2 linked regions of the Stegostoma tigrinum genome follow. The main gene of each other region encodes a partner of the protein of the gene in region 2 in a complex. Links are inferred from orthologs where the notes say so. Each region holds a gene or a part of one and is shown on either strand. Other genes may lie near its edges. The genes, in order: snap29 and stx17.

What was found.
Region 1: the proteins of stx17 (region 2) and snap29 are in contact, whole or in part, in a crystal structure (PDB 4WY4), measured with the Homo sapiens proteins. The link is inferred for Stegostoma tigrinum from reciprocal best matches to the Homo sapiens genes STX17 and SNAP29. Residues at the interface, in NP_060389.2 of Homo sapiens: Glu170, Trp172, Glu173, Leu175, Glu176, Leu179, Ile180, Ser183, Val186, Thr187, Phe189, Ser190, Val193, Asn194, Gln196, Gln197, Ile200, Ile203, Ala204, Val207, Asn208, Ala210, Ala211, Val214, Glu215, Thr218, Leu221, Gly222, Ala224, Ala225; in NP_004773.1 of Homo sapiens: Arg52, Thr56, Ser59, Thr60, Arg62, Ser63, Leu66, Glu69, Ser70, Val73, Gly74, Ser77, Glu80, Leu81, Gln84, Val87, Leu88, Thr91, Met94, Val95, Lys97, Met98, Asp101, Leu102, Ile104, Ser105, His108, Ile109, Ser111, Ile112.

The regions. Positions count from the first base shown.
Region 1 is NC_081379.1:7,569,301-7,585,211, forward strand, and holds the start of snap29 (synaptosomal-associated protein 29), read right to left. Parts: upstream 7,227-15,911; 5' UTR 7,130-7,226; coding exon 6,896-7,129; intron 3,029-6,895; coding exon 2,838-3,028; intron 1-2,837. UniProt on the Homo sapiens protein: SNAREs, soluble N-ethylmaleimide-sensitive factor-attachment protein receptors, are essential proteins for fusion of cellular membranes.
Region 2 is NC_081355.1:89,955,338-89,972,021, forward strand, and holds the start of stx17 (syntaxin-17), read right to left. Parts: upstream 8,528-16,684; 5' UTR 8,439-8,527; coding exon 8,404-8,438; intron 1-8,403. UniProt on the Homo sapiens protein: SNAREs, soluble N-ethylmaleimide-sensitive factor-attachment protein receptors, are essential proteins for fusion of cellular membranes.

The sequences.
Region 1 (15,911 bases), on a different chromosome or scaffold from region 2:
TGGCAGGATGTGAACCCTGGATTCTGGATTAATAGTCTAGCAAATAATACCACAAGGCCATTGCCTCTCCAACAGAACTTGTGGGAGTCACTAACAATAGCTTATGATTCAACCAACCGTTTCAATGACTGCTTGAGGGGGGGGGGGGGGGGGGGGGGGGCGGCAAAAGACAATAAATTTGTGTTTAGTACACTAGCTTACATTTTCCTTTACTTGCTAACAGGGAGCAAAGTTTCTAGACTACGGAAGGAAGTTGCTTTATTCCAGCATTAGAAAAAAAAATGAACAAATTTCCTCACATTCACAAACCATAAAGTCATAAAATTAAGTGTCCTCATCAATAACTATGGCATTCCGCCACTCCACCTTAACCATCAAGCCAGGTTCAATGAAGGTGCAGGAAGGCATGCCAGGAGCAGTGCCAGACATTCCTAAAAGTTATCAACCTGGTGAAGCTACAAAACAGAACTACTTGCATGTCAAACAGCATTGACAACAAGTGGCAGACACTGCTAAGCAATTTCACGACAATAGATCAGATTCAAGCTAAGGTCCGGTCACAACTATTCGTGGACAAATAGCACTTGTTTCACAATAACCTGCTCAGTTTTGCTTCCACCAGAGCCACTCAGCTCTTGACCTCATTACAACCTCAGTTCAAACATGGGCAAATGAACCAAGCTCCAGTGAAAATGGGTGCACTCAACATCAAGGCTTTCTCTGATCAAGTACGGCATCAAAAAGCTCTAGCAAAACCGGAGTCACTTGGAATTAGGGAAAACATTCTGTTGGTTGGCACAAAGGAAAATAGCCTCAGTTGTTAGAGATCAATCTCCTCAGGTTCAACTCTGTTGGAGCTCCAAGATAGGTGTCCTTGGCCCAACCATCTTTTGCTGTTTCGTCAGTTACAGTCCCTCCATGTCAGAATGGAGATGCTTGCTGTTAACTGCAGCATTCAGCTTTTGTGGATTTTCATATGGGGTCTTACATTTAAAAAATGCAATACTTCTTGATCCATGATTTTATTTAAATGCTTATGAGAGATGGCATCCTTGATATGAAATTGAGGATTTGTTTGCATTGGGAAAGTTTTACGGCTGGGCAGAGAAAACATTGAGGAGCATTCATGACTCCTCAGATACAGAAGCTATACATGTCAAACACATCAAGATCCAACTTTGAGCTGACAAGTGGTAAGCAACATTTATGCCATACAAACACTAGGCAATAACCACCTCACCTCAAAATTCCAAAGCATTCCCATTGCTGAACCATTGATCAGAAACTGAACTGGATTAATCATGAGCACTATAGCAAGGATCTTGTGGAGCAGTGGCAGTGATCCTACCTCTGGCCAAAAAGCCTGGTTTCAAGGCTCACTTACTCCAGAGATATCATAACATGTTGAGAAAGGTTGATTAAAAAGATTTCCAAGTACTGTAGATATAAGAGTCAGACATTAGGCAGCTGGAGTTAGACGAATCATTAGTCGAATCATTAGTCGAATCATTTTTTGAAGGCTATTGTAACTGGGTATAGTTTACTGAGATATAATATTTGTAATCAGTTAAAATGCAAGGATTGATTGGATCTTGTACAAATACTGTTATGAAATCTAACAATCATTGGTTTAAGTTTGTGCAGGAAGAAACTAACAAATGTTGATAAACTCCTGAAAATGCTGAATTGTAATGTGCATGCTTTATATATTAAAAAATTAAAGCATTTTTGCATTTGCAAAACTAAACAGACAGCTTAGATTTTGCTAGTTGCATATGGGTTTTCACCGGTGTGAATGAAGGGATTTTAATCATTTGACAGTATGTTGTGAGCCATGGTTTATCTAAACCAGTGTAAGAGAAGGCATCCTTGGGGTGAAAGTGGGATTTGTTTGCATTGGGAGAATTTTACGAGTGGACGGAGTACACATTGAGGAACATTAGCTCACTGTTTAGAAGGAAACAGCTTGGAAAACTTTTGTTTTATTCTTCAGGAGAGATCTGGTTGAAGTTAGAGATATGAAAGATTCTCAGGAGAAAACAGTTCAGAAAAGTTAGAATTGGGTTTCTTCAAAGTAAGGGTTTTAGTTTAGTTTTAAAAGTTACATTCCAAGAGTGACTGGTTCGAACCCTGAGAGAGTTAATTTTAATAAAGAAAGTTTAAGCTCAATTACGTAACAAATTCTCAGGCTGAGAATTGAAAGAAATTTGTCAAATTAAATTTATAGTTGGGATGGAGAAGAGAGTTCTCTCTGGTGATTAAGTACTGTAACAATGTTGAGATAGACAGGATTGTATGGTGTTTCAAAATCTTGAAAATTGCCTTTTTCTCTTATTTCACATAATAAATTTGTTTTACTGTTACAACAAAGACTGTAGCATTGAGTTGTGTTTCAGTGGAAGAATACTTTGTTAAATAATAAAATTTGTCAAGCCAGATTTCAGTCTGGGATCTAACTTCTCCAGCACTAACATTAGCTGGGACTACAGCATAACATGAAAGTTACGTCATCTACACAAAAGCAGGACAGCTCAATCACTGCCAAATCATTCAACACGAGAAAATCTTTTAACTAGAAAGATGTCCTGTGACACTTAGAAATAATTCTGGCTACAAAGTTAAGAAATGGCCAAGAGTAGAGGAGTGGGAGGAGGGATGGCGTTGAACAATATTGGCTGACAGAGGGTGAGCAAGCATCTGCTTTCAGAGAATGCCGCTGAACAAGTGGAAAAGCAGGGGTGAAGGATAAAATCTGAGAGGAGACAGGTGTGAAAGGAAGTAGAGATGTACAGGAGAATGAGGAAAGATAGACTGGGAAAGGAGGGGAGGATACTTACTTGCTGCTAGTTTGTTTTTCAGGCACTGGAGAGACCTGTGGCTCTGGGTTCTTAGATTTGAAGTAGTTTGTAATGCCACCAAAAATACTCTTAATGCTGTTGATGTGTTTTTGGCTAACTTTCAAATCCTGGTCCATCTTATTCACCATATTTTCTGATCGCTTAAGAGATTCACCTTGTCGCAGTAGTTCCTGTGAAGCATAAGAACCAAATCTACAGTAACCATTAAGACATGAGGTTCTGCAAATTAAAACAGGGAATTAGCCAGATGCTAAAAAGAGAGGAGGAAGAGCAGATGAATGAGGAGCTGGTGCAGGGATTCAGACTTTTGGATCATTGTTAAAGTTTAGTTCTAAATCAGGGCATGGCCAGTTTAGTGGTATTAGATGGGAACTTTCAAAAGTTAGTTGGGGGGAGGCTATTCACAAGTAAAGGGATGTCTGGCAAGTGGGAGGCTCTCAGAAATAAGATAAGGAGAGTTCAGGGCCAGCATGCTCATATCAGTGTGAAGGGCAAGGCTGGTGGGGGAGGGAACACTGAGTGAAAGTGCTTTACAGCTGAATTGCTTATGAAATGTAACCACTATTGTAATATAGGAAACAGACAATTGTCACATAACAAGATCTCTCAACAATCTGAAAATGGACAAGTGGGCCAGGACATTGCGGAACAACTCTTCTGCTCTCTTTTGAAATAGGGCAATGGATTGTCAATGGGGTTTAGGTTTAACATTTCAGTTAGTAAACTTCAAATGAGTCCAGCACTCCTTTAAATATTGAACTGCACTGCCAGCCTTTCCTGGAGCTGGGCTTGAACACAAGCTTTCTGAATTAGAGGCAAGAAATCTGCCATATAAATCATGGCTGCAACTTTATCCAATTCCTTATTACATGTCATATTGAAGCTGTTTCTTGCATCTTCTGAAGCTCTGCATTCTAGATCATTACTCATTGCATCAAAATACCTATGAAATTGATTTGAAAAGAATCATATGACAGCTGGTCAGTCCCTTCTAGTGACTGCCTTTCCTGTTATTGTAAGCTATCTATCCTGATAATTCCACCACCATCTCCATTTTCATTATGACCACTAACTTGTCACCTCCATGCTGATAACTGAACTTCCAATAGCATGCGCATCAGTCCAAGGGCTGTGCACCAGAGATAACATTTCAAACAAATTTTCAACCACCCTTACTTGAACAGTATGTCCCTCTGTTCAGAATCAAACCAAATCAGCAGCAGGATCCACTCCAGGGTAAAGAGGCCTTCTGAACTATTTATGACATTTTGATTACTCACATTTATGGTCCACAGTTCTTCAGTGGAAACTTCCTCCCCACATCAATTATTTTATATCTCAAAAATTTTTTATATCTTTGGAGATCAGGTCACTACACGGTCTTTTCTTTTTCAAAAGAGCCCCTGGCTGTTCAGATCTTCTCGATGGTTATTAGCTGTTCAGTTCTTGTTGTCACTTTCTTCTGTTAATCTTGCAATTATGGAAACCAGGATCATGTACTGTATTACACAGGGTGTACACAACAAACTAATTTGACACAAAAAGTTGCTGGAAAAGCTCAGCAGGTCTGGCAGCATCTGGGGAGGAGAAAACAGAGTCAACGTTTCGGGTCTGGTGACCCTTCCTCAGAAGGGAAGTAATTTGACAGTTGATTTACAAGTTTGTGCGTTTATGTTCCACACTACTCATCTCATGCGATCAACTACTTTCCATTGCTTAAAAACAAAGAACTGCGGATGCTGGAAATCAGAAACAAAAACAAATTTCTGGCAAAACTCAATAGGGTCTGACAGCATCTGAATGATCATTTTGGGCCTAGTGACCCTGCCTCAGAACTGACAGTAACTGGAATAAAGTTGGTACATGGACTAAAGAACAGGTGGGGAAGTAAACGACAAGTGGAAATGGAGCCCAGAATGACAGCAAGAGCGAAAATAGGTGGTCAGACAGAGGAATGGGTAAAGGTCAGCCATTCCTTTCTCTTTCATGGTCCCACTTATCTGTTATTCACCTTCACCTCAATGTGGGAACATGTCTCATATTGTTACTGTAGCATACCCAATACAATAAATTGAGTGTTTGAGTTTGTTAACCAACTTCTTGCAAAACAATCCAGTTCCTCCCACCCCTTACTCTTGGCCTATATTCCTGAACTTTTAACCTCATGTATTTTTCCCCAAATGTCTTCTGAATCTGATGCATATCCACCACCTTATCAGGAAAGCGGTTTGAAATTCTTGCCTACTGCAAAAATTCCTGCCCCATTACATCCAACTCATTTGCCAGTAACCTTTAATTAGTTTCCTCTAGTATTGCTCATTGGAAATAGTTTCTCTTCATTTCCTGATTCCTCCTTGATCTTAAACATCTCCAGCAAATCTCCCTTCTACCGTCCCTTCTTTATGCAGCACCAGCAACCCATCATTCTTGGAACTACTCTGAAATCTTAGCTGTATACAAAGCCCTTCACAGGCCTTCCTAAAATGTGGTGTATGGAATGAAACCTACTATTCCTGCAAGGAATGGGAGGATAAACTTCTTTTATATATTGTGTGTGTAATGATTGTAAGATTACTAGTTTTCAAGATGGTAGCAGAGAGACATCTACAATTTAAATGAAAGTAGGCAGAATTGAAAGAAACAAACTGAGCTAAAGGGTTATTGCAGGAAGAACAGGACGGACAGGTTCACATCATGCATCAACTTGAGCTAAAATGCCCTCGCCCGTACTACCAAAAAAAAATCAAACTAATGGGGTCTAGCATTGGTTTAGCATCTTCTAGCTTTCACTTTTTTTCCTAGAACCCAGAGACATTGATGTTTAATTCAAGCAAAATCCAGAACGTAACTTCCACTTTCATTTCTTGCTCAGTTGATCCTACGTTAACATCTTGCTTTTGCTGTAGTTCTGCTTCCAGCACAAGAACTAACACTCGTGTTTCACTGACTTGTCTATGGAAAGCCATGCCCTGTTACCTTCAGGAACTGGCAAAAGAAGTCTCCTTTTTAAATGAAGTGTACAACTTTCATGAATGTTGTTAAAAGATAGCACTGGTGCTGGAGTAATTCAACTACAAAGAGGGATGAGATAAGCTGGGGTTTTCCTTAAAGAGGAAAAGGCAGAGGACACGCAGTGGGGGAACATGATTGAGGTGTACGAAGTTACAAGGGTTGTGGAAACTGCAAAGAGGGAGAAACTTTGTAAAAAGGGTCTACAACAAAAATATACAGTTTTAAGGCTAGAAGCAGGATGACTACATTGAACTTGAGGAAAAGTCATAAAATAGATGAGTCATTGGACTTGGGCAGGGGGAAGCCACTCTCCACAGATGCTGGAAGGCATGGCAAATTTCTCCAGTACATTATGTTTTTGTCTATTCTTAGAAATAGATACATGCTTGATGATGATGTCAATAGCGTGGAGCTGGACATCTGTAGGTCAGGCAGTAGAGGAGCAGGAAAGTCGAGGTTTTGGGTCAGGACCTTTCATCTGAACCGTTTCAAGTTGCACAATTTCAGGGAAACTGCCAGGGTTGTGGGGGTTGGAGCTACAGGAAGAAGCTGAAGAGACTGGGGCTATTTCCTCTGTAGAAGCTTATAAGATAATGAGGGGCATGGATAGGGTCAATAGTCAAGGCCTTCCCCCGCCCCAGGATAGGAAAGTTTAAAACTAGAGGGCATAGGTAACCTAAAAAGGCGAGAGGGAGAAGATTTAAAAAGGACATGAGTGGGAAACATAGAAGGTGAAGCACGAATGGAACGAGCTGCCAGAGGAAGTGGTGGAAGCCGGTACAATTACAACATTTAAAAGGCAACTGGATGGGTACATAAATAGGTAGGTGGGCCAAATGGGACCAGATTAATTTAGGATCTCTGTTCGGCACAGATAAATTGGACCAAAGTTCCTGTTTCCATGGTTTACGTTGGGCTACTAGGACTACGACCGGCATCAACGCGACGGGCTGAAGGGCCTCATTTAGAATCTGTTGTTTGCGGTGAGCTCAGGCCGCGGATATCCCTCAGGCTCGATCCCTCACCTTCGCCGCCTCGGTGCCCACTTGCTCGGACTCGTACATGAGGGCCACGCTACGGCCGCTGCTCTGGACGGCCCTGTCGGCGCTCCTCAGCACCTGCTGCCTCAGGGACCACTGCCTGTCATCATCGGCGGCGGGCCCAGCCGCCCCGTCTTCCCAGTCCGCCGCCGGCCGACCCTCCTGCTCCTCGTCATCCTCTTCGGCGAACGGGTTGTAGCGATTGGGATAAGCCGACATCGCCTTCCCTCGATCGGTCTCGTCGGTACCGAGTTCGTCGCCTTCTCCGGGCTCTCCCCGCCACCGCGCCTCGTCACCTGACAACCCCCGGACTCACCACACGTGACCCCACCCGGGTGATGCACGCCAAGGGCGCGGCCATCTTTGAGACTGGCTGCCAGCATCGTTACGTGACCCCCAGCCCCATGCTTTCCCACCCGAAAGAGTCTTGGCTGACTTCTCTGAAATTCAGTAGAAACACAGACTGCTAGAAAGGCTCCACACGTGCGGAGAGGGAACGATATAAAAGTTTACGTTTCAGGTTGATCTGAATTTTCAGTAGGTTTTCATTTCGCCCTCCCTGTAGGTTTATCGAACAAAATCAGAGTATGTGGGATTGGGCGCACAGGTAAGTGTTGAGAATTGGTTAACAGACAGAAAACTTGAGTAGGAATCTGCAGGTCATTTTCAGGATGGCTACAGCCTCTTACCAATGGGGTACCTCAAGGGTTAGTGTTGTGGCCACAGCTGTTCATGAAATATATAAATAACTTGGTCTTGGGGAAACAAATGTAATATTTCAAAACCTATTGTTGACACAAAACTAGTTAAGTTGTGACAAAGTTGCACAAAGGCTCAGGTGAACCTGAATTGACTAAATAAATGGGCAAGGACACGATGAGCAGACATCTGGATTGACTGATTGACTGATTTATTGTCACATACCAGAGTACAGTGAAATGCTTTGTTTATGAGTAGTACAGGTAGATCATAGTAAGCTAGGTTGTGCTGATCAGAGGTTGTAAAAAGTCTTAGATAGAGGCATACAGGTTATGTTGCACAGGGCATGTGCAAGGCAAGATCAATATTAGCAAGATCAGCATTATTTGAGGCTGAAGGGTCCATTCATCAGTCTAATAACAGTTGTGAAGAAGCTGTTCCTGAACCCACTGGTGCATTTATTCAGGTTTCTGTATCTTCTGCCTAACACAAGAGTTTTAGATGTTGGCAGCCTTTCTGCGGTAGCGGGCCATGTACATAGAGTCCATGGATGGAAGGTTGGCTTCTGTGATGATCTGGGCTGTTGCCATACCAGGCCATTGTGCACCTGGACAGTGTGTTTTCAATGGTGCGTCTGTAGAAGTTGATGAGGGACCTTATGGAAATGCCAAATTTCTTCAGCCATCTGAGGAAGATGAGGTGTTGCTGTGTCTTGACCATCGCATCTATGTAGAAAGTCAAGGACAGGTTGTCAGTTATCGTCAGTCCGGGGAACTTGATGCTCTCCACCCTCTCAACCTAAGTTCCGTTGATGTAAATGGAGACATGTTCTCCTCCTTTCTTTATGAAGTCGATGATCAGTTCTTTGGTTTTGCTGACATCGAGAGGACCCATTCCCGTTGCCACTCCTTAGTCGCACCGCAGTCCCCAGCAACAACTCCAACCTGCCCGGTACTTTCCCCTGTATCTGTAAAAGTTGCAACACCTGCACACACGCCCCCTGCCCCACTCCCTCATCTGCATCCAGGCCTTCCAGGTGAGACAGAGCTTCACCTGCATCTCCTCAAAACTAGTCTACTGCATCAGGTGCTCCCGATGTGGTCTTCTCTGTGTTGGTGAGACCAAATGTAGACTAGGTGACTGTTTAGCTGAGCATCTTTGCCTGGCCTGTAAAGGCCAAGCTAACCACCTGGTGATCATCCATTTCAACTTCCCTGCCCCCTCCCCCTCCAACATGTCTGTCCTTGGCCCCCCTCCAGTGTCTCAATGACTCAGAGCGCAAATTTGAAGAACAACACCTTATCTTCCACCTGGGCACCTGACAGCCTGGAGGACTCAACGTTGAGTTCTCTAATTTCAAATAACTGTACTCCATCCCCAGGCTACCCTTCCAGCCCCTCCTCCTCCCTTCCATTCCACCTTTTGACCCTCCCTTTCAGCCACTGACCAGATTCGTCCCTCCCATCAACCAACCAGGTCATACCAACTACATCATCAGATGCCATTTCCACCACCCCCAGCGAGATGCCACCACCAGATACATATTCGCCTCCCCTCCCTTGTCCACCTTCTGCAGGGACCGTTACCTCCGGGACTCCCTGGTCCACACTTCCTTCACCTCCAATACCCCTCCACAGACCCACCACCTTCCCCTGTAACTGACAAAGGTGTAATATCTGCGCATTTACCTCATCCCTCCACAGTATCCAAGGGCCCAAACACACCTTCCAGGTGAAGCAACACTTCACCTGCACTTCCCAGCATTCAGTCTACTGCATTCACTCACACAATGTGGTCTCCTCTACACTGGGGAAACAAAACAGAGACTTGGTGACTGCTTCGCAGAACATCTACGTACTGCTTGCAAAAAAGACCCTGAACTACCTGTTGCCTGCCACTTTAATCCACCACCCTGTTCTCTGGCCAACATCTCTGTTTCTGGCTTGCTGCAGTGTTGCAACGCAAGCTGGAGGAGCAACACCTCGTTTTCTGCTTGGGGACCCTGCAGCCTTCCGGAATTAATATCAAGTTCAGTAATTTTAGGGCCTAAACTCTCCCATGTCCTAGCCCCCCACCCCACACACCAGGCTTTGTTAACACATAAGCTTGCCATTACACTCGGTGTTGTTAGTCACTGATGGTCCCCAGTAAGAACTATTCGCCCTCCCAGCCTGATTGTAATCAACACTTTGTCTGTCCAACTGTCTTTCTCTTTAGGCTCTATCCTATTGTTTACTCCCTAGCCCATACTCCTCCTTTTGCATATAAACTGATGTTTTCCCAGCCACCATCAGTTCTGAGGAAGGGTCACCGGATCTGAAATGTTAACTCTGTTTTTCCTTTCACAGATGCTGCCAGATCTGCTGAGCTTTTCCAGCAACTTGGTTTTTGTTCCTGATTTACAGCATCTGCAGTTCTTTTGGTTTTTGTTTGTAACTACTACCAATGTCCACCTGCCACTACCATTCCGACTCCACCTCTCTCCCCACTTCATCCGCAGCTCTCCCTTCCACCACATCCAGTCCCAAAGAACGGTAATACTTGAAATGTTGACTGCTGCTTTCCTCCAGATGCTGCCTGGCTTGCTGTGTTCTTCTAACTTCCAAACGTCAGCTTTCCTGCTCCTCTGATGCCGCCTGGCCTGCTGTGTTCATCCAGCTCCACACGTTGTTAACTCCTGTTTGTCTACTAGTCTTCACTGATTGTGGTCTTTGGGTCAGAAAGCTGAGGGTCCAGTTGCAGAGGGCGGAGCTGAGACCAAGGGCACACAGTTTTGAGATCAGTCTGGGAGGCGATAATGGTGTTGAAGGCAGAGCTGTAGTCAATGTGCAGGAGTTTGATGTACATGTCTTTGTTGTCCACATATTCCAGGGATGAGTGCAGGGCTGGGGATATGGTATCTGTTGTGAATCTGTTATGTTGGTAGGCAAACTGTAGGAGATTGAGGCAGGTTGGGAGCCTGGACTTGATGTGGGCCATGACCCACCTCGTGAAGCATCCTATGATTAATGAGTTCAGAGCCACTGGGCAGTAGTCATTAAGGCACACTGCATGTGCTTTCTTAGCTATAAAAATGATGGTGGTCTTCTTGAAACAGGTGGGGACTTCATCGTGTAGGAGGGAGAGGTTGAAGATGTTGGTGAATACCTCTGCCAGTTGGATAGGTACATGAAGAGGAAGGGTTTTGAGGAATATGGGCCTAATGCTGGCAAGTGAGACTAGATTCATTTAGGATAACTGGTTGGCACGGACGAGTTGGACCAAAGGGTCTGTTTCTGTGCTGTACATCTCTATGAACCTGTAAATGTAGAGTGATTCACTTTGTGGTAGAAACAAAACACTGTATTTCCTAATTGGTGAGAGGTTGGGAAATATTGATGTCCAAATGGAACTGAGTGTCCTTTTGAAATTGTAAAGATTTAAGGTGCAGGCCAGCAAGCAATTGGAAAGGCAAATTATACTTCGGCCTTCATTGCAAGAGGATTTGGTACAGGTTTTAAACATGACTTTCTCAAGGGCAACTAGGGATGGGCAATAAATGCTGGCCAGCCAGCAAGTAAATATAAAAAAAAAGCTGTTGGAGACTTGGTGAGACTGCAGCTGGAATGATGTGGATAGATTTTGTTTCCTTATCAAATAAGGAATATACTTGCTATGGACAAAAGAAATGAAGGTTCACTATACTAGTTCCTTCAAGAATGGGATTGTCTTACATTGAAACATTGAAGAAAATGGGTAAATGTTATTCCAGAGTTTAGAAGAATGAGAGGGGCTCTCATTAAGAGTTAACAAGGACATGATACATGAATTTAGACAGGATGTGTCCTTTGACTGTTGAGTCCAGATCCACGTGACTTTGTATTAGAAGAAGGACTACACCATTTAAGACTGAAAATGAGGAGAAATTTCTTCACTTTGACAGTGGTGAATCTTTGGATTTTCCTACCCCAGAGGGCTGTGGAAGCTCAATCATTGAGCATTTTGAAAACAAAAGTGAATAGATTTCTGGAGACTCATGACATTGAGGGTTACGGAGATGGTACAGGAAAGTGACATTGATGATCGGTCATGATCTAATTGAATGGTAGAGAAGACTTGAACAGCCTACTTGTGTTACTGCATTCCATTCCTATGGCGACTTTCACAATCATGACTGAACAATGCTCCAAACTGCTTTACAGCTATTTAAGTACATGTGGAGCATAGTCATTGTTGTAGCGTAGGTTTTGCCTCAACTGAAGATTTATGTCCAGTTGAGGGCACTACTGGTTTAGGAAAGGTATAAAGACTGTTGAAAGGGAGCAGAAAGGAATAACAAGAATAGTTCCAGGGATGAGAGAACTCAATTGTAAGTACAGATTGGACAAGCTGATGCTATTCTTGTTGGGGACCAGAACATTGAGAGGAGTTTGGATAAAAGTGTTCAAAACAATGAGGGGTCTGGACTCAATTATTAGGGAGAAAATGACTAATTATTGGAAGAATCCAGATCAAAAGGATACATCCATTCAATGTGAATGCCAGAAGAACCAAAAATGACATGAGGAGAAAGCTCTAATGCAGTGAAAGATTAGCATCTGGATTGTACTGCTTGAGAATGTCATAGTCACTGAGTCTACTGCACAGAGAAAGAGCTTTTAGACCATAGCATCTGTACTGGTGAAAAGCAGCCACCTACCTATTCTAATCCCATTTTCCAGCGCTTGGGCCTCGGCCTTGTATGCCTTGGCTTCACAAGTGCGCAACTAAATACTTCTTAAATGTTATGAGGGTTTCTGCCTCTACCACCCTTACAGGGAGTGAGTTCCAGATTCCCATCACTAACAGGTGAGAAAGTTTTCATTACATCTCCTCTAAACAACTGCCCCTCACCTTCAGTCTACGCAAGGAGAAAAGTTCCTTCCTGTCTGTGCCCCTCATAATTTTATACAACTCAATCTCCTCTGCTCTAAGGAAAACAATGCCTGTCTCTTCAATCTTTCTTCATAACAGAAACGCTCAAAACCCAAATAACATCCTGGTAAATCTCCTCTGCACCCTCTCCAGTGCCATCACGTCCCTCCTATTATGTATTGCACACATTACTCCAGCTGTGGCCAAATCAATGTTTTAGACTGTTCCAGAATAACACCCCTGCTCTTAACTGCTTCAGATAAGGCAAGCATCCTATAATCATTCTTAACCATTTTTTCTAACAGTCCTGGTGGAAACAGACTCGATTGTGGTTTTCAAATGGAATTGGATAATTAAGTTTTGAAAAAAAAAACTATAGGGTTACAGGTAAAGGCAGATGAGTGGAGCTAGGGGAGTTATTCTTGCAGACAGCTAGTACTGATGTGACAGGCTGAATGGCCCCCTTCTGTACATTTTTATCATTCTGTGAAATATAACTGACATTTTTTTTCTTGATTGCCCTACGTGAACTTTGCTGGCGAGACCTGCATTTCTTACCCATCATGATGTTAACTGAAGGTAGGAAAATGATTGCTGGGATCCTTGCTGAGAGATCGGTTTCATCAATAGCCACAGGTGAGGTGCCGGAAGACTGGAGGTTGGCTACTGTGGTGCCAGTATTTGAGAAAGGTTAAGGAAAAGCCAGGGAATTATAGATCATTGAGGCTGACACTGGTGGTGGGCCAGTTTGATTAGATTCCCTAGAGCGTGGAAACAGGCCCTTCGGCCCAACGAGTCCACGCAGCCCCTTGAAGCATCCCACCCAAACCCATCCCCCTATAACCCACACACCCCTGAACACTACGGGCAATTTAGCACAGCCAATCCACCTAGCCTGCACATCTTTGGACTGTGGGAGGAAACCGGAGCACCTAGAGGAAACCGACGCAGACATGGGGAGAATGTGCAAACCCTACACAGACAGTCGCGCTAGGTGGGAATCGAACCCGGGTCCCTGGCGCTGTGAGGCTGTAGTGCTAACCACTCAGCCACCGTGCCGCCCTTGTAGGAAGGAATCCTGAGGGCCAGGAGTTACATGTACTTGCAAAGGTAAGAATTAATTAGGGAAAGACAGCGTGGCTTTGTGCATGGGAAATCATGTCTCTCTAACTTGAGTGAGTTTTTTGAAGAAGTAACAAAGACGATTGTTAGATCACATGGAATGCAGGGAGAACTAGCCATTTTGGTACACAACTGGCTTGAAGGTAGAAGATCGAGTGTGGTGGTGGAAGATTGCTTTTCAGGCTGGAGGCCTGTGACCAGTGGTGTGGATTGGGGTTGGGTCCACTGCTTTTAGTCAGTTATATAAATTATTTGGATGTGAACACAGGAGGTATGGTTAGTAAGTTTGTAGATGACACCAAAATTGGAGGTATAGTGGATGGTGAAAAAAGCTACCTCAGAGTACAACAGTATCTTGCTCAGATGGGCCAATGGGCTGAGGAGTGGCAGATGGTCTTTAACTTAGATAAATGTGAGGTGCCACATTTTGGAAAGGCAAATCAGGGCAGGACTTGTACACTCAATAGTAAGGTCCTGGGGATCTTTGGTGAACAAAGAGACCTTGGAGTGCAGGTTCATAGTTCTTTGAAAGTACAGTCACAGGTGGAAAGGATGGTGAAGAAGGCGTTTGGTATGCTCTCCTTTATTGGTCAGTGCATCGAGTATAGGAGTTGAGAGGTCATGTTGCAGATGTACAGGACATTGGTTTGGCCACTTTTGGAATACTGTGTGCAATTCTGATTTCCCTGCTATAGGAAGGATGTTGTGAAAGTAGAAATAGTTTGGAAAAGATTTACAAGCATGTGGCCAGGGTTGGAGGGAGTGAGCTACAGGGAGAGGCTGAATAGGCTGGGGCTGTTTACCCTCGAGCATCAGAAGTTGAGGGGTGACCTCATAGAAGTTTAGAACATCATGAGCGGCATGGATAGGGTAAATAGACAAGGTCTTTTCCCTGGATTGGGGGACCCCACAACTAAAGGGCATAGGTTTAAGGTGAGAGGGGAAAGATTTAAAAGGGACATAAGGCATAACTTTTTCATGCAGAGGCTAGAACATACATGGAATGAGTTGCCAGAGGAAGTGGTGGATGCTGGTATAATTACAAAATTTAAAAGGTGTCTGGACTGGTATAAGAATAGGAAGGGTTCAGAGGGATCTGGGCCAAATGCTGGCAAATGGGATTAGGTTTACAAAGGAATCTGGCTGGTGTGAACGCATTAGACTGAAGGGTCTGTTTCCGTGCTGAACACCTCTGTGACTCCCTGAAGGACAAGGACTGGGCACTAGCGAGCACTGTAGCGTTATGGGATCCATGTGATTTGAATTTGCAACCTTCTCACTTTGGTGAGCATGCTAGCAAATGAACCAGCTTTGACACGATGAAGAATAGGACTGCATTCCAACCTTTCCATTTATGGAACCTAAAACAGAATTCAACCCGAACTATGATTTAAGACAGAGATAAGGAAAATATTTTTCTCAGAGGGCTCTGAGTCGTTGGAACTCTTTTCCTGAAAAGGAGATGGAAGCAAGAGTCGTGAAAGTTTTAAAGCAGGAGTAGATAGATTCTCATTAAGCAAGGGGGTGAAAGGTTATTGGGTGTAGACGGTAACGTGGAACAATCAGATTAACCATGATCTTGTTGAATGTTTGAGCTAATTTGAGAAGCTGAGTGACTTGGTAATAATTTATTTGTATATATTTGTTTTAGCAATCACAGATCTTGCTTGAGGGATTAATATCAATTCAGGACACTGGGGTGACCTTGCCCTACTCTTAGAACAAAGAACAAAGAAAATTACAGCACATGAACAGGCCCTTCAGCCCTCCAAGCCTGTGCTGATCCAGGTCCTCTATCTAAACCTGTCACCTATTTTCCAAGGATCTGTATCCCTCTGCTCCCTGCCCAATCATGTATCTGTCTAGATACATCTTAAATGCCGCTATCGTGCCCGCCTCTACCACCTCCGCAGGCAATGTGTTCCAGGCACCCACCACCCTCTGTATAAAGAACTTTCCACACAAATCTCCCTTAAACTTTTCCCCTCTCACCTTGAAATTGTGACCTCTAGTAATTGAGTCCCCCACTCTGGGGCGGGGGAAAGCTTCTTGCTATTCACCCTAACTATACCTCTCATGATTTTGTAGATCTCAATCAGGTCCCCCCTCAACCTCCATCTTTCTAATGTAAATAATCCTAAACTACTCAACCTCTCTTAGTACCTAGTGTCCTCCATACCAGGCAGCATCCTGTTGAACGTCCTCTGGACCCTCTCCAAAGCATCCACATCCTTTTGGTAATGTGGCGACCAGAACTGTACACAGTATTCCAAATGTGGTTGAACCA
Region 2 (16,684 bases):
AAGAACATTGTGTTTAATTTGACAAAAGTAAATTGCAAAGTGCTTCACAAACATTGTTAATATTTAACCACTCGTATAGAACATAGAACATTACAGCGCAGTACAGGCCCTTCTGCCCTCGAGGTTGTGCCGACCTGTAAAACCAATCTGAAGCCCATCTAACCTACACTATTCCATTATCATCCATATGTTTATCCAATGACCATTTAAATGCCCTTACGGTTGGTGAGTCTACTATTGTGGCAGGCAGGGCATTCCACACCCTTACTATGCTCTGAATAAAGATCCTACCTCTGACATCCTTCCTATATACCAATACCCCTCCAATTTAAAGCTATGTCCACTCGTGCTAGCCATCACCATCTGAGGAAAAAGGCTTTCACTATCCATCACATCTAATCCTCTGATCATCTTGTATGTCTCTATTAAGTCACCTCTTAACCTTCTTCTCCAATGAAAACAGCCTCAAGTCCCTCAGCCTTTCTCATAAGACGTTCCCTCCACACTAGGCAACATCCTGGTAAATCTCCCGTGCATCCTTTCCAATGCTTCCACATCCTTCCTATAATGCGGCAACCAGAACAGTACGCAATACTCCAAGCGTGGCTGCATCAGACTGATATTGACAATGCACATGTAATGTTGGTTGGGCTTGATCATAAATAAGTAAACAGCAGCAATATTCAACAACACACCACAGGTGTCACCAGGAACAAAGCTAAACGTCCAAGAACCAACAAATGCCAAACAATGAGCTCATCTGCTAACTGCATAAGATTGTATTTCTGAGCTGATATCACACAAAAGACCGAAGATTTTCCAACGCTTTATCTCGCAAGATGTAAGGTAGTGTTAAATGTTGAGTGTAACTCTACGTCTATAATGATTTAGATCCAGCTAATAATTGTCAATCTTTCATACTCCATAATGTTGAACTGTGTCATGGTAGCAGTTATTTATCAATTATCAAATAAAGTTGTTAGTTAATACAACTCTGCGACTGACTTTGATTTGGATAATTCCAGATATTTGTAGGTTAGTTACTACAGTCACAGAAATAACTTATTTCTGGAGAGCCTTTAACATAAACCAAATCCCATATCGTTTCCACGAAGTGCAAGTAAAAAGCTAAACATCAAACCAGAGGAAAGGACATAGACAGGGAATAATCAAAAGCAAGATGATGCAAATTTTGAGAAGAGAGAAATGGAGAGCCTCAAGCAAGAAGTCCTATGAGTAAGACAATGCAGCTGAAGACAAGACCATCATTAATGGCTGAAAGCAAAGAGACGCACAAGAAGTTAGAGGCAGGAAAGCAGAAAATTTAAGGAAAAGTATAGGTGTAAGTTGGTTACAGAGTTGGTAAGAATAAAGTGATGAAGGATTTCATTTATGAGGGTGCAATCTGAAGGTCCAGGTGCCACTACAAGGTCAGTGAAAACAACAGTCACAGTAAGCACAATAAAGGGCCTAAAATTTACAGGCAAGGAGTGAGCCAAAAGAAAGTGTAGAGACTACAAAGGCACAGATGATTGTTTCAATGACAGATTAAGTGAGGTAGAGATGGAATTTGTTGATGTCATGAAGGATGATGTCGGAGGTCATTAGGATAGAGAGTGAATGGCACTGAAAGCTCAATGTAAAAACAACTTGCATTTATATAGCACTTTTTACCAGGCATCTCAAAGCATTTCAAGTCAATAAACATGGAGCTGGAAAAGCACAGCCAGTCAGTCAGCATCCGACGAGCAGGAAAGTCAACATTTCGGCTCCAAATTTCAAAGCACTTCACAGCCAATGAAGTACTTTTGAAACGTTGACACTATTGTAATATAGGAAATGCAAAGGCCGACGCGTGCACTGCAATTAGCAATATGATATTAAGCAGACTTTTTGATTTGTGATGTCAGTTGAAGGATAAATATTTGGTCTTATTTGAATATGTGGCAAAGAATATTTTAGATCTACTGTACGAGGTAGATGGGACCTCATCCAGATGCCTTTTAAATGTTGTAGCATCCCATTTGAAAGACAGCATCAAGAGTGCAGCAATCCCTCAGTAGTACACTGGAGTGTAAGTCTATACCTTTGTACTCAGGTCCTGGAGTAAACTTCAGCCCACGGAGCAAAAGCTGCTAGGTGTCAAATGTTGGAAAGTGCAACTAGTGCAGATATAGTACTGACTCAAGGGGCCAAAGAATCTCTGCCGTACTGTAAAATTCCATGATTTTATGAGTACATGTCAGTGCCTTTAAATTACTGCATGTACATGGCAAATTTGAAGGTCCAATGGACTTGAATAAATGAGCCACTCATAGTAAAAAATAACTCAGCATGGCATGATCAAGGGAGGTGGAAAAGTGGTCACAGGGTTAGATGAGGCTGTATTTGGAAGTTAAACCCCATTCTGTGAAATAATTTGCCAAACAGCAGCCTTTTAAATGAGGCCCAGGTTAAAGTCCCACCAGATCCAGAAGTGCGTGTTGACATATCTGAACAGGTTGATTACAGATATCTACGAATGAGGAAGAAAAGGAAGTCAAGCATAGACTCTTTGTCCATGCTGTCTGTCCTGTGGGATTGTAATTGTCTTTGGAGACGGGATAAACTGGAGTTGCTGCTCCTCCTCAGAACTTCAATGCTACTGCAAAATAGGTAACTTCTGTGCTGCAGACATGTAGCATGAGCAAGAGAAGTCAAGATTCAACGCAGTAGACTCTGAACCACATGGAAGTTGCTGGATAAAGTTGCAATTCTCAAGGAAAACAGCAATTTTCAGGCTAAAATAACTAATGCTGTCAGTACCATATTTTTACTGTGGCTAAGAAACTTGTTGAATTCAACTTTTTTGCAACAACAAACCAGATTAGTAATTATTTCCCACTATTCATGCACCTCATCCAACCTGGCAAGATGCAGGATACAGGTTAATGACCTTATTTGGATTTCATAGATCTGAAATTAGTTACCTGGCAGATACAATCAATTAGAACTGCCACAGTGAAAGCCAAGGCAGATCAAATCATCTTGAAATCCCAGCCAAAGAGTCTTATTGGAGATCTAATTTGCATACACACACAACCCACCTCTCCTTGCCTGGGGAAAGGCCCTCATTGCCAGCACCAAGCACTCACAGGTCAGCGTGCCAGATGTAGGGGCAAGTTGTTTGGATCTCGGCTACCCGCTTCCCCAACTTTTACTCTTGAGCTTGAAATTTCAATGACCCCAGTGTTTGGAGATCCAGGGGGGGGGGCGGCGGTGGTGGTGGTGGTTCTCAACTTTAGCAAAGCTGTTTTAGTCCCAAATTAAAATGGCATTTTCTACTGCAGCAACGATAATTTTTTTCCCATCTCTCAACAGCCACAACTTGACCATTCTAACATAGCTGCCAATTTGTGTTGAATTAGGATAAGTTTGCACCACACCTTCTGCCGCATTTAATGACTTAATTTAACATTTCAGTCTAGACATTTTCAGCTTCCATTTTTCTGATTATGTTCATAGGTGAATCTTAACTCTCTATATGCTCAAGCATGCTTTCACTTTCTCTGACATCTAAGCAACACATTTGGAAGTGCATGGGTCCTCCCTCTGTAGCCTCTTTTCTGCCCGGCCCTCAGCCTCACCACCTCCATAATAAGTGTCTTATTTGTCATCCCATGGCCTCATTGTTGTATAACCTGATACTCATGACTGCAGGAGGACTCCTCTGGCTCTGTTGCATGCACTTATTGCACGTCACTTGTAAGTACATGAAAACATACCCCTTCTTCAAGCAATGAAAATGTATCTAAATTCGGAAGTCCCCAGCACAAGCCCCAGTTATCTGTCCTTGAAGTTCAGTCAACACTTTGCTAAAAGCAGTATTTAGTATTCACTGGTGACCTTTATTGCATCTATCCCTTGCGTTCGGAATCATCTGTGACAGCTGTTCCCTTATTGATTGATATATCCACTTTCCATTCCCACATTCCACTTCTCCCCCACTACTGAGCCACTTACTGCACTCTCATTTCAGGATCGATGGGATTAGACAGTCAGAATGGATTTACAGTACAGAATTAATAGAATATAGAACAGCACAACACAGTACAGGCCCTTCGGCCCATAATGTTGTGCCAAACCTCTACCCTAAACCAAAGGTTATCTAACCTCCACCCATACCTTACACGATCATTCACATGCCTATCTAATCACCGCTTAAATGCCCCTAATAAGGCCAACTCCACTATCCTCTACAGCAATGCATTCCACGCCCCGACCGCTCTCTGAGTAAAGAACTTACCTCTGACGTCACCCCTATATCTACCTCCACTCACTTTAAAACTATGCCCCTTCGTGATAGCTACTTTCACCCTAGGAAAAAGTCTCTGGCTGTCCACTCTATCTATACCTCTGATCATTTTGTACACCTCTATCAAGTCACCTCTCATCCTTCGATATCGAAAGAGAAAAGCCCTAGCTCTCTCAACCTTTCCTCGTAAGACCTTTCCGTCATTCCAGGCAACATCCTGGTAAATCTTGTCTGCAACAGTTTTCCTTTTCCAACACTTCCACATCTTACCTGTATTGAGGTGACCAGAACTAGACTCAATACTCCAGGTGTGTCCAAACCAGGCTTTTGTATAGTTGGAGCATAACTTTACGGCTCTGAACTCAATCTCTCTATTAATGAAAGCTAACACACCATATACTTTCTTAACAACTCTATCCACCTGGATGGCAGCTTTCAGGGAACTGTGGACATGAACCCCAAGATCCCTCTGTTCCTCCACACTGCCAAGTATCTTTCCATTAACCCTGTATTCTGCTTTCAAATTTGTCCTTCCAAAATGAATCACCTCACACTTTTCAGGGTTAAACTCCATCTGCCTCTTCTCAGCCCAGCTCTGCATCCTATCCATGTCTCTTTGTAACCTAGAACAGTCCTCCGCACTATCCACAACTCGACCCACCTTCGTATTGTCCCAGAACTTACTAATCCACCCTTCCACTCCTTCATCCAAATCATTTACAAAAATCACAAAGAGATGAGGACCCAGAACAGATCCTTGTGGTATACCACACATAACTAAGCACCATGCTGAATATTTTCTGTCCACTACCACCCTTTGTTTTCTAAGGATCAGCCAATTCTGAATCCAATCTGCCACGTTTTCCCCTATCCCATGCCTCCTTACTTTCTGCATGAGCTTACCATGGGGAACCTTTTCAAACGCTTTACTTAAATCCATGTATACCACATCCACTGCTCTACCCTCATCCACGTGTTTGGTCACCTCTTCAAAGAATTCAATAAGGTTTGTGAGTCATGATCTACCCCTCACAAATCCATGTTGACTATCACAAATCAAACTGTGCCTATCAATATAACAGACTCACATGTAAAATTAAAGCATGTGGGGCTATGGATAGTGTTTGGCTTGGATAAAGAACTGGTTGGCGACAGCAAAGAATGAGTATAAATACATAGTGGCAGACAGTGACTACTGGGATGCCACAACAATCAGTGCTTGGATTCCAGCTATTCACAAAACATACCAATCATTTAAATAAGAGAACTAAATATAATTTCTCCAAGTTTGCAGGTGACAAAGTTCAGTATAAAGGTAATCCACTTTAGTAGCAAAAACAGGAAGACAGATTATCTGAATGGCAACAGATTCATAAAGGGGGAGGTGCAATGAGACCTGGGTGTCCTAGTACACTAGTCACTGAAAGTATGCATGCAACAGGCGGTAAAGAAGGAAAATAGTACGTTGGCCTTTACAGCAAGAGGATTTGGGTACAGGAACAGAGATATCTTGCTGCAATTATACAGGGCCTTGGTGAAACCAGACCTGTAATGTTGAGTACAGTTTTGGTCTCTTTACCTGAGGAAGGATGTTCTTGCTCTTGGGGAAGTGCAGCAAACATTTAATAGATCGATCCCAGGGATGAGAGGACTAACAAATAAGGAGAGTTTAAATCAGTTACGGTTATATTTGCTGGAGTTCGAAGAATAAGGAGGGATCTCACAGAAACCAAGAAAATCCTAACAAGATTAGACCACTAGGGTCGATGCAGGAAGGTTGTTCCAAATGATGGGAGACTCCAGAGTCATGGCTCACAGTTTATGGATACTGAGTAAATCCTTCAGGGCTGAGATGAGGACAAATCTCTTCACCCAGAGGTGAGCTTGTGGAATTTTCTGCCACAAAACGCAGTTGAAGCTAAAATATTGTGTTTCAAGGAGTTAGATAAAGGTCTTAAGGCTAAAGGGATCAAAGGGTATAGACAGGAAGCTGGAACTGGATACTGGGTTTGATGATCAGCCACATCATACTGGAAAGCGGAGCAGGCTCGATGGGGTGAATGGCCTATTCATGCTCCAATTTTCTATGCTTATAGCCGCTCACTTCTCCCCTCCACCCTCTAACATTCCAGTGCCTTACTCTGCCAACTCACCTTACACCTAACACTTGGAGATGAGGAGTTCATGCTTGAAAGTCAGGGATAGTAAATGCAGGAGGAAGTAGTGAAGGTCTAGAAAGTGTCAGGAGGCACTGAGAGGCTGGAAAATTGGGGGATTGGAAATAGTGAGTGGATGGAATGTGGGGGGGATGTCATTAATGTATTACAACATCTCAGATATGAAGAATTACCCAAGGTGCAGTTGTTTCTTCACGACAAACACGTAATCGTTTAGCTGTGATCTCACTAATCCACTGAAAGCACATTTAGGGTTTTGACTTTTTCCAGTATGACAGTGTTAAGCTTTTTTTAAGGAAATCTAACTTATACCTACTGTCTCGTGCCAATTTAGACACTGTACTGTTTAGAAAATTAATGCTTTTCTCGTGATGAAGCAATGATGATTAATGGGAATTATGATTCTTTTAATTCTGCTGCTGTGCAAGTCCAAATCCCCAATATCCCATCCATACAAATATAAAAGATATTGTTACAACTTGCGTATGTCCCGCACCATTTAATGAAGTAATTAGTGAAATTGAGACAAGAACCTGAAGGGAACCCCTTGAAAAGAAACTGATCTTGAGCCCTGCTTTAGAATGTTTCAACTGAACCCACTTCAATCACATTCTCAGGAAGTGCATTCCAGATGTTTAACCATTTGCTCCACAAAAAGGTTTTTCCTCACAACTCCCTTGCTTGCTTTGCTGTTTATTTTAAATCTTTTCTCTCTCATTCTCAATCCTGTCACAAGTGGGAAGACTTACTCCTGATCTACACTGTCCAGATGCCTTATGATTTTGAATACAGTCCTAATTTCTTCAGTCTATCTTCATAACTGAAGTCCCTCATCAATGGAACCACTCTCTTTAATGCCTTCACAATTAAAGTGAAACGCACAGAACTAGAGGTAATACTCTCGCTGACTAAATTAAGTGCTCAATTCAAATTCAGCATAGCCACCTTGTGCTTTATTGACCTCCATCTGGAACTCTTACCTCCTTCAATAACTTCTGTGTATACACTCAATCACTGCCGAGAGGTTTAAACCAGTTTTTAAAAGGTAACAGTTGGTCACAGAAGGCATGCTGGATCTCCATTCTGAAGTTCACAAGTCAAACAAATATGTGCTAATCACAAGTTTTACTTTCCTTTCCCCTTCTGGATGGAGTTAGAATTGGCAAGCATCTACCTGATTACCACATTTAGAGTTTCCATATACTCCTCGGTGACCATTGCCACCAACAGTGGCATTGCGAGATGTCTGATGTCGGTGCAACTCGAATCTGGGACTTAAAAAAGAATTTCACTGGAAAGTAAGAGATAAAGCGTGGAGCTGGGTGAACACAGCAGGCCAAAGTAATACCGTCAGTTTGGGTGGATGATGTGAATAGTGTATTTTGTCAGTAGCACCAGTCCTGGAGAGCCCTACGCCACAAGACAGTCTTCCTACTGTGCCCTGCACCTTGGGCGCACTAGGCCGATGATAAAAAGCCAAAGAGACAAGGGCAGCATTTCCCCAGATGTAGTATGAGGAATTTTTAAAAAGGGCATCGTCCCAGGAAACAAGACGAATTTCTGTAGAAACACTGGTCACCTCAGAACAGTTTTTGGTGACAGGCAAACTTTTGTGCTCCTGAGATGCTGCTGGGCCTGCTGTGTTCATCCAGCCTCACATTTTATTATCTCGGATTCTCCAGCGTCTGCAGTTCCCACTATCTCCGACCTCTGGCACCAAACACTGAATATACTGATGTCCTACGAGGTACCGCCGGGGATTATGCGTAACACATTTCAAGTTTTATTTTCATACTTTCCAGCAACAGGTCGCCGCCGTTCAAGGATTCAGATTGTGGGAGGAGCCGGAGCTTCTCTCACACCGGTGGCCGTGTGAAGGGGGGGGGGGGGGGGGAGTTCGGCGGAGGTGCACACACAAAACTAAAGACCTACCTCGGGGCCCTGCCCACTGGTAAAAACCCGAACATAAACCGCTCTCCCGATCGACTGCAATCGCCACAACTTGACAGAGCCGCCACTTCCGGCGTTACCACAGAACACACCCCCCCGAGAACCGGGCGCGGCTCCATCGGGCCTGGCGGCTCGCAACTCAAGGCTGAAGATGAGTAAGTTTTACAAATCACTAAAAAGGGTGAAGTTGTCGTGCCCCTGCCTTTAGACCAGGAGGCCTAGGTTCACATCCTAACTGTTTCAGATGTATGTGGTACTATCTGAGCAGGTGGATTAGAAATTATCGACAAATCACGAAAGGAAAAAAAATCCAAGTGTGTTTAGTTTTATTTTCGTTCTCCACCAACGCCATTTTTATCAAACATTCAGTCCATTTACACAAATATGCATTTTAGGTTAAGCTGTTTAAATAATGTCGAAACTAGCAAACCAGCCTACTAGTATTACCGCTAAACTATCAATCCACACACTCAGCCAGTCACATTTTCAACCTTTCTACAGATGTGGAAGCAAGCCATTTAGACCAGCAAGTCTACACAGACCCTCTGAAGAGCATCCCACCCAGACCCACCGGCTACCCTAGCCCTGTACCCCTGCATTTCCCATCACTGACACTAAGCCTGCACATCCCTGGACAATACGGGCAATTTAGCATGGCCAGTTCACCAACCCTACACATCTTTGGACTATGCAAGGAAACAGGAGTGCCTGGAGGAGTCCCAAATTTGCTACTTAGCTTCCTGAACACTGTTCCAATTTGTTATTTATAAACACTTAGTATCAAAGCCCACTGTTGAATTTAGCCTGAAGCTACAAGCACACTACCTTGGCCTCTTCAAGGAGACTCAGCAGAGTTTGTGGACCATTCTTACTACAAATTTAGATCTGTAAAGGATTTGGTGAAACTTCCCAACTCCAAATACAACTGACAAACCTTCCTTCTCTATTAGGGTGTGTTTACACTCTGCATTGGATCACCTCTGAGCTAATATTACCCCAATGCCATACAGGGAAGCATCTCATGTCAGTATCATAGTGCGGGTTTCATGACGTGCCAACAGCTCAGAGGATGATAGCTGTTTCTTCACTTCCCTGAGAGCTATGGCTTGGCTATGCAACCATTTCCAAGGTTGACCATTTTTTAAGAGTTGATGTAAAGGTGCCGGGATGGGAGTCAGGTTAGGTACAAACTTTCTGTAATAATTCACCAGCCCAATGAAAGAGCTAAACTCTGTTACAGATGTGGGAGCTGGAGCACCTTTGATCACCGTCACTCCTTCTTCCAATGGTGGTAACCCTGTCTTGTTGACTCTGTAGCCTGAGGATGTCACTTGAGCATCTGGAACACATTTTTTCCTTATCTGGGAGAAATGTCGAAGGACTATGCCCAAGTTCTGTAAGTGCTTCTTGTTAGTCTTCTCTTTTATCAACATGTCATCTAGATAAATGGCGACCTGGGGTAGACCTTGTAAAATGTCTCAATTATCCACTGAAAAGTTGCACAGGCTGACGATACCCCACATGGCACTCATACATTGGTACAAATTCTTGTGTGAATTACTTGTAGCATACTTCTGGGAATTCTCATTTAACTGTAATTGCAAATACGCATGGCTCATCTCCAGCTTCATGAAGGACAATCCCCCTGCCAGCTTTGCATATAAATTCTTTATGTGAAGAACTGAGTATTTATTCAGCCATGAAAAGTGATTTACCATTTGTTTAAAATCCCCACAAAGGCAAACCGACACATCAGGCTTCCCAATCATTACACCTGGTGCTGGCCATTCAGAAAATTGGGCTGGTTTGATGACTCCTTCACTTCCTAGCCGCCTTATTTCTGCCTCTACTTTTGCCCATAGGGTAAATGGCACTGAGCAGGCCTTGCAGAATTGTGGAATTTCTTCCTGGTTAACATGCAGGGTGACCTTGGCTCCTTTGATAGTCCCCAGACCTTCCTAAACACTTTCTGGGTATTTAATTAGAACTTCATTCAGGAAGCCATTTTCAAATCAAAAAACGTTCAGCCAATTTAAGTGAACCTTTCTCAACTAAATCTGCTCCATCAAGCTTGGGCCCTTTCACTACAATCAGTGTTAACTGATTCAGCTGCTTCTCATAAGAGAATGGGATCGAAGTTGTGTACCCTTAACCTGTAAAGGTTCTCAGTCTGTCTGAGGCCTTATGCAATCCCAAGGGTTGGAGTCCAGAGCAAATTTTTTTAAGACCGGTTCTGTGATCGCTGAAACGGCCACACCACTAGCAAGGACCTCCATTAGAAGCGGGTGACCATTTAACCAGATGTTTATTCTGATTCGCTCTGATCTAGATGTTGCTAAGAATTTAACTGTTCCAAACCAGATGTAGGTGGACCTTCCAGGTTGGATACTTGCCACGCGTTTTCTTACTCAATTTACATCTAGCAGGACTCCTTTTGCTGTCTCAAGTCTGCATACTGGTGGCAACTACAATGGCTTGCCAGATACTGAAGAAAATTTTAACCGTTTGGCAAAGGCTTGCCTTTGTTTTGGGGTTTTGCTTTGGCTTGACCTCGAGTCCCTATGTTCAGCATATGTCCTGAGTGAAGCTATGCAATTCCCTTCACTCAAGTGCTGTTCCACAAGCTCAGTCAGGCTGGCGAGGGTGACCACTTCCATTGGAATACCCTGTAACTAAAATGGTCCACTTGCCCAACTTTCTAATATTAAAGCCAGTTATGGTCTCAGTTTGAAGTCCAATTGGGCGTCAGCTAGTAGCTGTTTTTGCATGGTTATATTGTTAATCCCACATACCAAACAGTCTCTCAGCATCACATTAAGGGTTAAACCAAAGTCACATGCCTCTGTCTTAACCTTGTCAAAAATCCTAATACGAATTCCCTGGTTCTTGAATTGCTTCAAAACCGGTAGTGTCTCAGAATTAGAGGAGGCTTGGGATCAGAATATTCCTTAAGTAAATCCGTCAACTCTTGAAAGGCTTTTGTATCTGGTGCCTCAGGGAAAGTTAGGCTCCCAATAACCAAAAAAGCTGTGCGTCCACAGCTGTTGGGAGAATTACACATTGTCTTTCATCTGCCCCCAATGTCGTTTGCCCCAAAAAACTAACACAGTCTTTCTGCACACAAGACCTACAGCACTCAGCTCCTGATCTCATTACAGCCTTGGTTCAAACATGGTCAAAAGAGCTGAATTTTAGAGGTGAGATGAGAGTTACAACCCTTGGTATCAAGGCCACTGTAGATATTTACCAAAGATCCTTAGACAGCACCTTCCGAACTCACAACCACTTCCACTTAGAAGCACAAGGGCAACAGTTACATGGGAACACCACAACTTTCAAGTTTCCCTCCAAGCCACTCACTGTCCTGACTTGGAAATATATCACTGTGCTTTCACAACTCTATTATCAGTTCAAAATCCTGGAATTCCTTCCAAAAGGTCAAGTTATAGCACGTGGACTGCAGTGTCATACAGATAGTACACAATACAGACTTTTGCTATTATTGAGCATCAGTGATGAAGGGACTAGATGCTCGTGGATGTGGTGCCAATCAAGCAGGCTGCGTCTTCCTGAATGGTGTCAAGGTTTTTGAGTGTTGTTGGAGCTGCATCATCCAGGTAAGGAGGGAGTTTTCCATCACACTCCTTGCTTGTAGCTTGTGGACAGACACTGGGGAATCAGGAAGTGAGTCATTTGTCGCAGTGTTCCTAGCCTCTGACTTGCTCTCGTAGGCACTGTGCTTAAATAGTGAGCCCAGTTGAGTTTCTGGTCACTGGTAGGCCCAGGATGTTGTTAGTGGGGTATTTGGTGATGGTGACTGCATTGAATGTCAAGGGCAATGGTTAAATTGTCTCTTATTAGAAATGGTCATTGTCTGGCATTTGTTTGGTGCGATTGTTACTTGTGACTTCTCAGCCCAAGCCTAGATATCCTCCAGAGCTTGTTGCATTTGAACATAGACTGCTTCAGTATCTGAAGTAATTATAGCAGGACACTTGTCAAGGAATCTCCACATGTAAATAATGGATTACCAGTTGGCCTGGGATACCGGTCTCTGTGAGGTTACTTATAATGTTTCAAACTTCTGAAGTGCACAAGTATTGGGAGTAAGACCTTTAGCTTGTTACCTGTTTCGAAATGTTATGGATGTTAATCAAGCAGATGTTGGGACTTTTTGTATAAAAAAAAATTAATTCCAGTTAATTTAACTTTTCCGTCGTATGTCAGAAAGGCATTTATTTCTACGGAATGAATTTGGATGGATTGCAATTTGTTCAAAAGAGGATAATGTTGACCTTTCTTTTCTTTTACACTGCCACACATTGTCCCTGGCTGAGAGGACAAGCAGACAGATGACATGAATGACCTGTCACTTATGTTTTAGGCAAAACCTCAAAACCTTGATACTAATATGATTTGTCACTGAATGAGCTGTGCCTATCATCAGGCTGCCCGCATGTATGATGCAATACAGTACCAATGATAGACATCCAGATAACTAATATCAGGATTGTTCAATAATTCAAAAATATAAAAATGGATTGTGAAGCTAACGTACCAACACCACAACAAGGATACACAGTTCTGAATTATTTCCCAGCCGGTATCTGTAGAATATTTATTTCCTTGTGTATATATTACCTCTCAAACCCAAGATGGAGCATCATTTTAATTTGCAACTTTTCCTTATTCCTGATTATTTTAGATAATGGCTGCTGCTCACCAAACACATACAATCAAACACAAATGGGACTACACTAAAATACATCCTCCACTACTTGAAAATTCACAGCCCTGCTTCCAGTAGAACAGTGGCAAACTGGCGTTGATGACACCCGCATCTCACACCTGTGGAGTATCAGGACTCAAGAAAAGGTCATTTCACTGAAGTAGTAATTATGGATGCAATGGTCACAACGGAAGCTGTTTGGGTCCTGTCAGGCAGCAGGTGGAACTAGAAAAACACTGCTGTGTGTTGACCACTATTGACAATTTTGGCTGTCTCGATAGGCTACCATTATAAAGGAGCTAAGAGGATTATTGTTGCCCTAGCTTCTAGTGGAGTCTCAGGCCAGGCCAGATATCTGGGCCCCTGGTGGTTCCACTGATACTGCTAAGCTATGTTGTGCACTAGGTTTATTCTGATGCCTACCTACATGAAATAGATCAGATCTATGTAAATTTGCGTTGTAAAAATTCCTTTATCTTGTTACAGCTCTGCCAGGAGGAGTGCAATGGTAATCAAGTTCCAATACTCTAAAAGCTATACCAAAAGAGCGAATGTCTTACTTAATTATTCAAATGGTTAGTTTATCTAGAACAAAAGAGATTTTCATCAGGGTTCCTCAATACACCGAAAAATAACATTTATTGAAGATAAAATCTATTCTTACAATAAACAGCAAAATGGTTTATCAACTATGCTACTACATAGTTTCAAATTATATCTCCCTTTATTCCAAAAACACACATATTCATATATAGGACAAGATCTCACAGATCCTCAGGGCTATTGTGGATGGGGAAAAGAATCATTAAAGGAATAATGTCCTTGTCTGTCAAGGGTTTGAATGCAGAACGTAGAAATAAGTTGACTTCCTTTGATATCTGTTGACAATCTGATTGTTGTCAGTTGAAGAGTAATGGAAGATCTTCAGCCCAGATCTCATCTGGAAACAGTTAAGAACCCTGATATTTGATTCACAAATTCTTTGTTGAGAATGAGAGAGCTTCTATCTTTGCAAACCTCTCCAGCAGAGCCATATTTGATTTATAATGAAAAATCCACACAAATATCAGTGCAGAGGCTACTGTTAGGCAATGACAGCACAGATCTTTACAACTTTTCAAGCTTGTTTGTCCATCAGTTACAATAATAAACCCTATCTTTTGCCTCTGTCTTAGCAACTTTCGCTTGTATTCTCTGCAAAGTCTGCTGACTTTCTTGAACAGCAGACAATGCCCAGTTTTTCTTAATCCATTGATTTTTGGGTTCCAAAAAGTCGCTTGGTAAAACTTTGCCCCCTAGGAATTATCCAAATTTGCCATTTCCAATTCTCATAGTCTATTAGATTAGAAATGACCAGCCATAATTCAACTGATTGGTGCGCCAGACACAATGGACTGAATGGCCTATATCTGCTCCCACATATTATGGTCTTCTAAGAATATGCATTTCTCACACTGCTTATCCCTTTTGCCATGGGCTATATATGGGGGAAATGGTGATCACAAGAAGGCCCTGCTTTAGGACATCTAGATATGCCATAGCGTGCACAGTTACTAGACAAGTGCTGGAGATGTGATACAATGGATAGATGCTTGATGACTGGTGCAGATAGAATGGGCCAAAGGGTTATTTTTTGCACTGTAAAAACTCTATGGTTGTATATGAAGTTCTAGTGCTGAGTCTGTTGAAAGAAGAGACAATAAATATGTTGAGGGTTCAATGACATTAGCAGTGTAAAATAAAACAATGTTTTTACCATCATTGTGTGGAAGTTACAGGTGTGTACAATTTTTGTGTTAGGCGAGTTAACTAATCTCTTACCGCAACTTCAGTGGAGAGTAGAGTAGTAGAACCTGAGAAACAAAGCAAACAGCTGCATTTTCTTTTTGCAAGATTTTTGCTGAAGTTATAGCAAACATTTGGGACAACTGCATAAATTACAGACAGATTATTATTTTAGAAAATATCAGACCATTGTTGATTGCTGCATAAGTACTATATGCAGATACTGTTGATATTTGTAATTAATTTACAATGAAACATATAGTCTATGTATCAACATTTTATAAAAGTGAATGCATTTTCTTCCTTCAGTTAAATATTTAGTTCTCAGCTCATCAATTTTACAAACAGTGAGTACACAGTTTTACAGTCTATCAGTTGGAGTTAGATCTGATGCCTCAAATTCTTATTGACCTGCGCAGCTGTCCAGATCTTAATTGTTCTCCAGTGGGATATGAGATCGCTGGCTAAACCAGCATTTATTGCCCATCCCTAGATGCCCTTGAGAAGCGTGGTGAGCTGCCTTCTCGAACCACTGCAGTCTATATGCTCCAGGTAGACCCACAATGCCCTTACTGAGGAAATTCCATCATTTTGACCCAGTGACAATGGAAGAATGACAATATAATTCCAAGTTGGGATGGCAAGTATCTTGGAGGGGAACTTGCAGTTAGTGCAGTAAATAGTATTTTTGTTCATCAGTCAACCCCAATTCATTCACTGGTTGATTGCTTCACGGAACAACTGTGTTCTGCCTACAATAAAGTTCCTGAGCTTCCAGTTGCCCGCTACTTCACTACACCACCCTGTTCCCTGGCCAACATCTCTGTCTCAGGATTGCTGTGGTGTTCTAGCGAAGCACAGTGCAAGCTGGAAGAACAACACCTCATTTTCTGCTTGGGAACCCTGCAGCCCTCCGGAGTCAATATTGAGTTCAATAACTTTAGGGCCTGAACTCTCTCATGTCTTAGCCCCCTACCCCACACACCAGGTCTTGTTATCACATAGCTTGCCATTACACACTACCTATTGTTTGCCACTAACAGTCCCCATTAACAGCTACTCACCCTCCTAGCCAGATTGTTATCCGCTCCCTGTCTATCTAACTGTTTTCTTCTGTCTGTTTGGGCTCTATCCCCACCTACTGTTTACCCCTTGTCACTTCTCCCAAGCCCTCACCCCATCATCTGCATCTAAGCTGACATGTTCGCAGCCACCATCAGTTCTGAGGAAGGATCTGAAACGTTAACTTTGATTTCTCTTCACAGATGCTGCCAGATCTGCTGAGCTTTTCCACCAACTTCAGTTTTTGTGAGCAAGTGCCCCAACCTGAAACGTCAAGCTTTCCTACTCCTCTGATGCTGCTTGTCCTGCTGTGTTCATGCAGCTTCACACCGTGTTATCTCTGTTTTTGTTTCTGATTTACAGCATCCACAGTTCTTCTGGTTTTTACCCCAATTCATAGCCTTTTCCTAATCTCAGCGTCAATAGTTTCTGATAATGAGAGTGCATGAAACATTTTTATTGTGTCCAATCCAACAACAGGCAGAAAGTTCTGTGAAATGATAAGTAAGTTCTTTCTACTGGCAGAAACTCAATCGGGTTTTCAATGAATGCTCCCACAATCCCACTTCTTTCACAGGTGCCTGCACAAAGTAGAATCATAGAATCCCTAGAGTGTGGAAGCAGGCCATTTGGCCCATCGTGTCCACACTGACCCTCCAAAGAGCACCCCACCCAGACCCACCCACT